Linked DNA regions of Sus scrofa. Each later gene encodes a partner of the first gene's protein in a complex. Links are inferred from orthologs where the notes say so. Each region holds a gene or a part of one and is shown in the gene's direction. Other genes may lie near its edges.

Region 1 (4,186 bases):
AAGTTCTAACAGTGTATTTCCAAATTTTCTTCATGATTATTTCCGACTAGTTTTGTTAACATATTATTAGTTGAATTTCTGTCCTCAAACAGATATGTTATGCTGGTTTTTATTTTGTTCTGTTACCAAATGAGATACTCTTGGGTAGGTCTGTACCCATTGAGGAGAGAATTTATGCAAGCTGAGCTATGGAAGCTTTTTCTAGAACAGAAAGGCCCCATTAGGGGCCAAATGCGACATGCACAGCGTGGCTTCCTGAAACAGTGGCCTTCCCGCATTGACTGCAGAGTACACGTGTCTTCTCTAGAGATAGTTGTTCGGGCTTTCAGCCTTGAAATTTGCACTGTTCCCGGCAGGGTGGTTGATTTTTACTCTTTTTCCTCTTCCTTCATATTTTACTAGCATGACATTCAGGGGATTTTTTTTTTCCCGCCTTTTAGGGCCACACTCGCAGCATATGGAGGTTCCCAGGCTAGGGGTTGAATCGGAGCTGCAACTGCCGGCCTACACCACAGCCACAGCAGCGCCATGTCTGCAACGTAAACAGCTCATGGCCATGCCGGATCCTTAACCCACTGAGTGAGGCCAGGGATCAAACCCGGAACCTCATGGTTCCTAGTCGGAATTATTTCTACTGTGCCACACAGGAACTCCACATTCATGGGTTTTGTGCCATCTTCCCGGTCAGGAGCTCCTTCTGGGGGCCACTGTGCTCCTGGATCCTTTACAGACCAGTGCCCTCAGTCTTTATACCCAGAACCCAAAGAAGCTCAAGAAGTCCTGGAGGGCTGGGGTGGGTTCTGAACTCAACGGCACTTCCCTTACTGGACGTGAGCACTTCCCCAGCCCTGGGAGAGACGTGGACTGTCAGAAGCAGCCGACTTTGCTTCACACAAAGGAGAGGTTGAGATCTCTATGGCAGACTTAAACTTTCTGAAGAAAACTGCCTTCTCTGATGCAGAGAAGTTTGCTAGGATCACACTGACAAGAAACTTCTGAGAAGACTCCAGGGTCTGTCTCTCTTCTGCGGTTAAATGAACCTTATAGAGTTCATCTGGGCCTCAAGGAATCAGAAGCATCAAAGGGTCTTTGTGCTCATTGGGGAACTAGGAAGAGACCATCCATCCATGGGGACCTGTAATTCTGCCTTTTCTCTAGGAAGCAAGAAAAACAATGACTTTGGCTTCAGGGCAATGGAGGAGAATAGACTCGGAGCTATGTTCTGCTTGGCCTCCTGTGTATTACAAACCTGACTTGTAATCAGGTTCTTCTCTTGGGAAGGAAGGCACTAGGGCCCAGGAGTGAGGTGCTGGCTTTGTTGTGTGACCACAGAGGGCTGGTTACGCACTAATTTCCTCTGGGGCTTGTGATGAAGTCAGTAAACCACAGCCTTCAACATGCTCTGCTCAGGCAGCAGCGGTGGCTTCTCAGTGCTGTCTCGGCCATGACACACATTTGACATGCCCTCCTTTAAACCGCTCAGAGACGGTCTCTCTTGCCCTGCAGCATGGACCAAAGAGAAGTCCTACAGAAGTTCCTGGATGAGGCCCAAAACAAGAAAAATAACAAAAAGGAGTTTGCCAGTGAATTTCTGGTAAGTCCTATATGTGACCCGGTCGGGCTAGTGACATAGATGTTTAACTGCTTGCAATGGTCCAATTCTTTTAGACCAAATTGCTCTTGTGATCAAGTGCATATCAGACCTTTGGGGGAAGAAGGCATCCTAAAAGTGTGACTTCTCTAAGTGGCGTGTGTGTCCTTCGGGTGTCCTCTACCATGCCTGATAGCTTAGCTTTCTTAGCAAAACATAGTTTGGAATATTTTGTGTGCTAGTTCTTGGAGGTTGACTGGGAATCCTCCAAAAGACCTGCATCATTCCAGGGGTACAAACCTAATATTCATTGAACATCTGGAGTTCCCAGGTATCTGAGTTCTAGGTTTATGTTTCAAAGGACTCATTTTCATGCATATCAAGAGGAACCAGAGCAAGGTTCCCTTTTCATGGAGCATTACCCTTTTGGCCTCCTGTGGGGTTCCATTTGGATGACAGAGGCTTTTGAAGAGCACCAAGCCACGTTTATTTTTTGTCGTGTCTTTGGGCAATAACAGGGTTTCCTTAACCTTCTTTTGCTGGCTGGGGTAGGACAGGGAGCAGAGAAAAGTGAGGGACATGGTGAGAAACATAAGCACAAGGGAGCCTGGGATCACCTGGGTTTGATTACCCAGGGGAACACGGCATCTCCTGCGGGGGAACTGGTTATTGACGCAGTGGCAGCTGAGCAGGCCTCATTCATTCAATGAGCCAGCTCGCCCGGGGACACAGGATATCTGAGGGTACCTACCATGCATTTTGGAATACTTCCAGCTGATGATTCGAAGCTGTAGGGACTTCAAACTGTACCTTTTCAGCTGTGAAGAAATGGGAAAAATAAGAGAGTTTAAGTGTAAAATCTGAAATTAAATCATGATTCTGTCCTCAAGCAAATGATCAACTATTTGAAATGTGCCTTGATCTCACCTGGTCTCTATTTTCTAACTTCCGCAGTGGGGATAAGTCAGGCCCTGCCTCTCTGCACAGGATTATTGTGATGTCTCAATATCCACAACAATAATGCTTAAATGTGGCTGTTCATTCAGTAACACTTAATGAGCACCTGCTGTGTACCAAGTTCAGTTCTAGGCACTGAGGATATGGTAGTGAACAAAACAAAAACCTTTGCCCCCGTGGAGTTAACATTTCGCAGATAGATGTGAAACCACTTTGTAAATGTTCTCGAGTGATTAGGTTCTTATCACTGAGTTATTGCCTATTATGATAGAAACCACTGTGTCAGCTCAACTTGGATTATATTGTGGTGTCATGAAAAATTGCACTCTAACTGCCGCTGGCCAGGCATCTGAGTCTCTTTGAGTAGAGTTAGCAGGGATGGAGGGAAGACAGAAATCCTGGCCTCTGTGTCTGTTAGACATGTATCTGCTCCTGGACTATAACTGGACTATAGCTGGAGCCAGATTCACCCAATGCAGAGAGGTGAATCGTGAGCTGAGGGGGCAGTGGCAGCTTCTGTTTTATTTTGGTTGTGTTTTTGAAAATAATATAGACAAAAAAAAATAGAAAAGAAAATAATACAGACTACATCCCTAATATTTCACCTTTTCTCAGCTCAGTTATTATAACCTCTCACCAAATTCTAGCAGCTACCTCACCTCCTGTTTTCTCTGCCTCTTGCCTTGCCCCACCTTCAGTCAATTTTCCATTCAACACCCAAGTGATCTTTTAAGACTACAGATCTGGTTATTTGGTTTTTTTTCCCTGCTCAAAAACTTTTGACAGTTTGCATTTTTTTCCCAGCTGTTTGAAATTGTGAACTGTAGCACATTTAGAAAAGTCCACACAACATGTTTAAGTATAATGATAATGCAACCACTACTCAGGTCAAGGAATTAGAACCCTGTCAGACCCCAGAAGACCCGTTAAAAAAAAACCCTTCCCCATCTGGTCCCTCACCCCACCCTGTCCTGCCCAGGCCAAGGAATAACCACTAAATTGACTTCTATATTAATCACTTCCTTACTCTTCTAGCTTCTGAGTTTAAGGACTTTGTTTTTGGGTGGTGATTAAGTGGAACCTCACTGTTCACTGACTCATGTCCTCCAGTGGAAAAACAGAGCCTTTCCCTCCCTCAGCCCCACCTAAAGGTTTAGCTGAGATACCAGAGAGTGGCTTTGATGGGGTGCGGGGTGTGAATGGGGTCAGGCTGCTTGCTTGGACAAGGTAAATAACTGCCCTTAAATTGGAAGGCTTTCCACTAGGTCACGTCCCACATTCCATCTTCAGCTCTTCACATGTTCTCCCAGGATGTGCTGTTTCTGAGATCTGGGAGCTGATTCTGTGACATAGGCCTGCAGAGGGCTGCCTCTGTGGGAATTATCAAAAGTCCTCTCCACTTCCAGGTAGATGCTCTGTGCACCCTGCCCCCCCAACCCGCTGGGTCCCTAGCTTTGATTTCTGTCCCCACTTCCCTCTTGTGCAGAGCGCATAGCCCTGCTATGACAGCTAGAGCCAATATCATACTGTTTCCATTTTTCCCCATGCCAAGCTTAAACTCAATAATCCTTCTGTAGTTGAAACTGCCACTGACCCCTCCTGTAAGGTTTTCACGCATTCACTCTAATATTTATTGAG
Region 2 (3,647 bases), on another chromosome or scaffold:
CCTTTCCCCACAGCTCTCATGGTACCAAGTGATAGGTCGGCCTTCCTGTGACACGGGGACGCCAGATCTTCTGAGAAGATGTCGGCAATACAGGTACTGCAGGGATGGGGGGCTAGGCAGTTGCGTGTCCCCACCACCACCACGGGGGGGTGCTGAGAGGAGAGAGAGTGAGGGTTCAGGTCAGTTCCCTCCCCTTTTCCCCAGTCCTGGCTTTCAACACAATAGATTTCCAGGGCACACTGGTCGTGCAGGGTCCTAAAGATGTGAGCACAGGTCTGGGGCAGTGGAGAGATCTCAGCTGGAAGATGCCCGGAGCTCTCCGGGGGAAGGGCACCTCACCCAGGCTCCTGCAGGCCAGCCAAGAGGCTGTGATCTCGAGGGTGTGCGGGCAGGTGGGCCGGGGTTGCCCTGGGCTGCACTGCCCACCTGTCACCTGCCTTGCAGGCCGCCTGGCCATCCGGTACAGAATGCATTGCCAAGTACAACTTTCACGGCACTGCTGAGCAGGACCTTCCTTTCTGCAAAGGAGACGTGCTCACCATTGTGGCCGTCACCAAGGTAATCAGTGACCTCAGCTCCCCAAACTCCACGCCCACCTCTGGGTCCCAGCTGCCCTGCAGGGAAGGGTGGGTGAGCCTGAGAGCGTGTCTGGGCTCCTCCCCACCCAGGACCCCAACTGGTACAAAGCCAAGAACAAGGTGGGCCGTGAGGGCATCATCCCAGCCAACTACGTCCAAAAGCGGGAGGGCGTGAAGGCAGGCACCAAACTCAGCCTCATGCCGTGAGTACCTCCGAGGAGCGATGGTTGGGGGCCCCCAGGCTGGGGAGGAAAGAGGACCAGGAGCCCTGGTTTCCCCAGAAGAGAGTCAGGAGAACAGGGAGGTGAGAGCAAGGGGCTGGGATTCCGTGAGGGCTTCCGGCAACGAGGGGAAGGGCGTGGGTGCTGGACCTGGAAGGGGAGGATGGAGCCAGGAGGACTGAAGAAAGAAAGTCAGAGACAGAGGGTGAGGGCCCCAGGGCCTGACACCTGCAGAAGCGTGTGAAGAACCCGGAGGGAGAGGGCCTCCAGGAAGTGGAGCCTGGCAGATGCATGAGGAGGCTGGTGGGGGCACCGGGGACAGTGCCCGCGGGCCACCACGACCCCAGGCCTGGCCTTCCCATAGCTGGTTCCATGGCAAGATCACAAGGGAGCAGGCAGAGCGGCTCCTGTGCCCACCAGAGACAGGCCTGTTCCTGGTGCGGGAGAGCACCAACTACCCCGGGGACTACACGCTGTGCGTGAGCTGCGACGGCAAGGTGGAGCACTACCGCATCATGTACCACGCCAGCAAGCTCAGCATCGACGAGGAGGTGTACTTTGAGAACCTCATGCAGCTGGTGGAGGTGAGCAGACACAAGGGCTGGCCCAGGTTCCAGCTCCAGTCCCACTGCTTCTGACTGGTGGCCTGGGGCACGTCATGCAGCCTCTGTGAGCAACACCCTGATAGAGCACCTGCTGTGTTCCAGGGTTGATCTCTGACCCCACCACAGGGAGGTGGCACCCTGGTTCATAGGTCAGGAAACAAAGGTTCAGAGCAGTTAAAGAACCCACCTCTGGTCACATGGTTGTAAACTAGAGGTGCTGGGACTAGAATCTGAGTTTTCTGACCCCAGAATGAGCTTCCATCCAGTTCCTCATAGACTATATGCCAAGTGTGTGTGTGTAAGCACATACTCATGACCTTCACCTTGAAGGGCCACATGTCCCTGAATCTTCCAAGGCCATCTGTGCCCCAGGCAGCCTTCACATGCCTCCTGCACTCACTGGGCGCCTTCGCCTTTTCTCTGCTGGCCTGGCTTGACCTGCGACAGGGGGCACCTGGGCCCACTAGAGCCTGATATCTAGAGTGAGCCAGGGCTTGTCCTCTGCCTCAGGATACTGGTGAGGCCCCAGAGTGGTAGCAACAACCCCAGTATCCATTCAGCACCTCGGTGTGTGGTGACATGGGCCAGGTGTCTGGGGCCTCCCTCACCCCTGCTGGAAACGCAAAGCCCTCCAAACCCAAAGCAACTGCAGGGCTGGGTGGAACTGGCCTCTGCTTCCCCCTGGTGGTCAGACCAGGACAGGGCATGGCAGCCATTGGAGTTGCACAGGGGACCCTGAGCGCCTGCCCTGCCCTCTGCAGCACTACACCTCAGATGCAGATGGACTCTGTACCCGCCTCATCAAGCCAAAACTCATGGAGGGCACCGTGGCGGCCCAGGATGAGTTCTTTCGCAGTGAGTGCCACCCCTCCCCGAGACCTCACTGGCCCACCCACCCGCCTCCCACCCAGGCTTCCTGGCACTACTTCCATCCCAGAGGCTCTGGAGGCCTCCAGGGAACCCCTCACCCCACCCCGACCCGTCCTCCACTTTATGTCCAGTCTGCCTCTGCTGTGACCCCTTCTCTGGCTTCACCACCCCTCAACTGACCACCCCCTCCCCCCAGGTGGCTGGGCACTGAACATGAAGGACCTGAAGCTGCTGCAGACCATTGGGAAGGGGGAATTTGGAGGTGAGCCAGAAAGGGTGGGAGCCCTGAGAGGTGCCAGGGACTGTGCGGAATCCAGGGCCAACCCTTAACTCTCTTCTCCAGACGTGATGCTTGGCGACTACCGAGGGAACAAAGTCGCCGTCAAGTGCATTAAGAATGACGCCACTGCCCAGGCCTTCCTGGCTGAAGCCTCAGTTATGACGTGAGTTGGACTGGGGGTGAAGGGGTAGGGAGGTCGCCCCGGGGGCCAGGAGGTGATGGGGAGGCTCGGCAGGCTCTGACCACCCCATGTTGCCCCAGGCAACTTCGGCATAGCAACCTGGTACAGCTTCTGGGCGTGATCGTAGAGGAGAAAGGCGGGCTCTACATCGTCACAGAGTACATGGCCAAGGTGGGTGCCTTCCCTGGGACCCAGCCCCCATCCTGGAGCTGAACACGGGCTCGAGCTTTCCAGCTGCCCCAAGCCCCTCCCCCCACACACACACCCTTGGGCCCCTGCTCCTTCTCTCCAGCCGAGCTTTGAAGTCACCCAGGCTCAACTTGGCTCATCATTTTTTCACTATGACCTTAGACCAAGCCTCAGGTCCTCACCTGTGAACAGAGGCACTAGCAAAGTTTACCTCAGAGATTTATGAGAATTAAGAAATAATGCATGAAAATTGCTGAGCACAGCGTCTGCTATTCCTTCAGAAGTGATGTCCTGACCCTTCCCCTGTCCACCTCCTCTTCACACTGCCCACTGAGTGTCACCGGTTACCCAGCCCCAGGCCTACTGTTCCCAAGGTCTGGCGGGCAGGTTTGACTTATAGGGCCTGTTGGTCTGTCTGTCCACCCCAGGGGAGCCTGGTGGACTATCTGCGATCCCGGGGTCGGTCGGTGCTAGGCGGAGACTGCCTCCTCAAGTTCTCGCTGTGAGTGAAGCAGCCCCTGGGGGCGGGGCGGGGCGGGGCGGGGGTGGGGGAGCAGCCCTGCTCTGGAACCCCTGTCTGAGGGGACCTGTGGCTGGCTCTCTCCTAGAGATGTCTGCGAGGCTATGGAATACCTGGAAGGCAACAACTTCGTGCACCGGGACCTGGCTGCCCGCAACGTGCTGGTATCTGAGGACAACGTGGCCAAGGTCAGCGACTTTGGC
Region 3 (2,521 bases), on another chromosome or scaffold:
CTCCTCCTGCAGCTGGCTCTTCCGTATGTATTTATCGAGTATCTGTGGTGTGCCTGGTGCTGGGTGCTCTTTGGGGACAAGACAGGCTCAATCTAGCCTTGTGACACCCTCGGCCCAAGGGGACCTAGGCATTAAACAAATAATCCCCCCCACTTATTCACTGGCGACTGTGCTCAGAGTTCCGACGGCAGCTCCTTCGCCCTTGGGGGAGGCTGGAGCACAGAAGTCTTGGCGCCCCCGAGGCTCCGCAGGGAGCAGGTACTGAGATGTCTACAGGGTGAGGGTCCGGAGAGCACTGCTGGGGAGGGAAAAGCCACTGGGACCACCCTTTGGGGAGCCCTCCTGGTGAGGGGCACCCCATAAATCACCCGAGGGCCCCCTGCCTCATCCTCCCCCCAGCGCTCACCTGCTTTTCCTCTGTCCCCAGGTTCTCCGGGCTACTGCACGGAAGTCCCAAGAATGCTTCGCCAGCAGCTTCTGCGGGTAATTGGGGGGGCAGCTGTCACCCGGGGGGAAAGGGGGGGATGCCTACTTGGCACAGATGGACCCCCCAACGGTTGAGGTCGGGCAGAGGCTGAGCCAGGTCTGGGGAAGCTTCACGTCCGGGGGGCCTCCAGGGATCTGTTTTTTTGCTAAGAGGCGGGCACCAGGCCTCACCCTGCTCTCAGCCTCCACAGAGACCCTGACTCCCATCCCCGATCGGAATGAGGGTGTCTACGCTGCCATCAACGTGCAGGAGGTACCAGGACCCCCCACCCTGCCAGCCCAGGACTACAGGGCGCTCTATGACTACACAGCCCAGGTGAGCGTCCCCCGCTCCGTCCCCTCGCTAAGAGGGCGCTGGTAGCCCCGCGGTGGGAATATGCTGGGCGGAGGCCCTTAGAACAGCACCCGGTGTTTATGAGGGGGCCCAGCCCGTACCTGCCGAGTGAAAAGTGCTGAATGGCGCGAGGCCCCGGGGCTGGTCACGCACACATGTCCAGGCAGCCGTGGGCATTGCACGGGCCCACGCTCATGTGCAGGCAGGCTGCCGGAGTCGGGGCTGCCTAAGGATGTGGTGTGAGGCTCGGGCTAGGCCCCCACGCGTGAGGCCCTTGTTCTCCATGACCCTGGGTGCCAGAACAAGCCATGGCCAGAGCGAGGCTTAGCTGTGCCGGGGTTGATCTTCTGAGGCCCACAAGGGGAGGATGAGTAAAAAGCCCCAGGACAGCTGTGCCCAGATCCTAGAGTCTAGTCTGTTCCTCGCTTTAAGGTGAGGGGTACAGAGCTGGACCTCAAACCTGCTGGGGCTGAGCGGCCCGGGGGAATGACGCTGTGCTTATATTGCAGTGGCAAGCGGAGGAGGGGGCACAGCAAACACACTTGCCCCTGACTTGCTGGGCTGCTGTGTCTACAGTGGGGACAGGGAGAGGGAGCAGCAGGAGGTAGAGCAGGAGAGAAGCCCCAGGTTGTGGGAGGCCCCCAGTGACAAACCAGAGGGGACAAGAGGCTGAGTCCCACAGGATACCCCGCATGCTACGTCTCCAAGGGCTGCCATAGCCCAGAGAATGGCCTGGTCTTGCAGCCCCAGGAGGCCAGCAGGTCTCAGCTCACAGCCCACCTGAGAGACAGGCTGGCACTTACTGCCCAGGTTGAGGGTAATGCCGGATCAGAGGCCCTCCCAGCGGGCACCTGCAGGCTGACGTGCTTTCACTCTCTTGCCCAGAATCCTGATGAGCTGGACATCACTGCAGGGGACATCCTGGAGGTCATCCTGGAAGGGGAGGATGGCTGGTGGACGGTACAACGGAACGGGCAGCGTGGCTTTGTCCCTGGCTCGTACCTGGAGAAGCTTTAAGGAAGGGGCAGTAGCCCACATCTGGACCTGCCCTGCCCATGGGGCCGGCAGTGCCCCCGTCAAGACGGAGCCTGCCCTCCCAGGAAGGGTGCCGGCCGCTCCTGGGCAGTCTTTTCCACAGGGAATAAAGGACTGCTTTTCCCCCTCTTTGCTCCCGTGTCCAAGTGCTCAATGTGGAGGAAGCAAAGGTGGGGAGAAGTCCAGGCGAGCAGAGCTTTCCGTGTGCAGTGTCATCACTGAGGCCCCAGCCTGGCTCTGTCCCAGGTGAGCTGGGAGTGGAGCGGTACCCTGGGAACTGCCAGGGAGACACATTCACAGCGGGCCATGGGGGAAGGTGGCAGGGGTCAGGGAGGAGGGGCTCGGGGGATCTGCGATGGGGAGACCGGGCTTCCTGGGGTCAGAGGGACTAGAGCAAGGCAGCAGCAGATGGGACACAAGGAAGAGCAGAGCATCGGGGATCATTCTGGGGATGAGCCGAGCTTTGTTCGGGGCAGGAAACAGGTGATGGGTGTGCCGAGGTGCAGGGGCATTATAGAGTCTGGGCAGGAGGCCTAGAGGCCTGTGGATGCAAGTGATACTCACTGTTTTCCAGACCCAGCTGGGCCTGGGGAAGCCATCGCTGCCCATCCGTGCAGGCTGACCCTGGGCACAGAGGTGGTCAGGCTCCTCTTTTGTTCTTGATGC

What was found.
Region 2: the proteins of PTPN22 (region 1) and CSK are in contact, whole or in part, in an NMR structure (PDB 1JEG), measured with the Mus musculus proteins. The link is inferred for Sus scrofa from reciprocal best matches to the Homo sapiens genes PTPN22 and CSK. Residues at the interface, in NP_033005.1 of Mus musculus: Pro614, Pro615, Leu616, Pro617, Glu618, Arg619, Thr620, Glu622, Ser623, Phe624, Ile625, Val626, Val627; in NP_001291690.1 of Mus musculus: Phe20, Thr23, Gln26, Ala40, Val41, Thr42, Lys43, Asp44, Asn46, Trp47, Ile59, Pro61, Asn63, Tyr64.
Region 3: the proteins of PTPN22 (region 1) and PSTPIP1 are in contact, whole or in part, in a crystal structure (PDB 7AAM), measured with the Homo sapiens proteins. The link is inferred for Sus scrofa from reciprocal best matches to the Homo sapiens genes PTPN22 and PSTPIP1. Residues at the interface, in NP_057051.4 of Homo sapiens: Ser793, Lys794, Pro795, Gly797, Pro798, Arg799, Asn800, Pro801, Pro802, Trp805, Asn806; in NP_003969.2 of Homo sapiens: Thr225, Arg228, Asn229, Trp232, Asn236, Ser239, Met240, Cys242, Val243, Asp246.

Annotation. Positions count from the first base shown.
Region 1 is NC_010446.5:106,690,732-106,694,917, forward strand, and holds the start of PTPN22 (tyrosine-protein phosphatase non-receptor type 22), read left to right. Parts: upstream 1-1,370; 5' UTR 1,371-1,507; coding exon 1,508-1,594; intron 1,595-4,186. UniProt on the Homo sapiens protein: Acts as a negative regulator of T-cell receptor (TCR) signaling by direct dephosphorylation of the Src family kinases LCK and FYN, ITAMs of the TCRz/CD3 complex, as well as ZAP70, VAV, VCP and other key signaling molecules.
Region 2 is NC_010449.5:58,737,934-58,741,580, reverse strand, and holds part of CSK (c-src tyrosine kinase), read left to right. Parts: intron 1-13; 5' UTR 14-78; coding exon 79-93; intron 94-444; coding exon 445-558; intron 559-668; coding exon 669-781; intron 782-1,163; coding exon 1,164-1,383; intron 1,384-2,165; coding exon 2,166-2,259; intron 2,260-2,470; coding exon 2,471-2,536; intron 2,537-2,617; coding exon 2,618-2,717; intron 2,718-2,815; coding exon 2,816-2,906; intron 2,907-3,352; coding exon 3,353-3,426; intron 3,427-3,532; coding exon 3,533-3,647. UniProt on the Homo sapiens protein: Non-receptor tyrosine-protein kinase that plays an important role in the regulation of cell growth, differentiation, migration and immune response.
Region 3 is NC_010449.5:57,143,228-57,145,748, forward strand, and holds the end of PSTPIP1 (proline-serine-threonine phosphatase-interacting protein 1), read left to right. Parts: intron 1-427; coding exon 428-483; intron 484-668; coding exon 669-802; intron 803-1,705; coding exon 1,706-1,837; 3' UTR 1,838-1,984; downstream 1,985-2,521. UniProt on the Homo sapiens protein: Involved in regulation of the actin cytoskeleton. May regulate WAS actin-bundling activity. Bridges the interaction between ABL1 and PTPN18 leading to ABL1 dephosphorylation.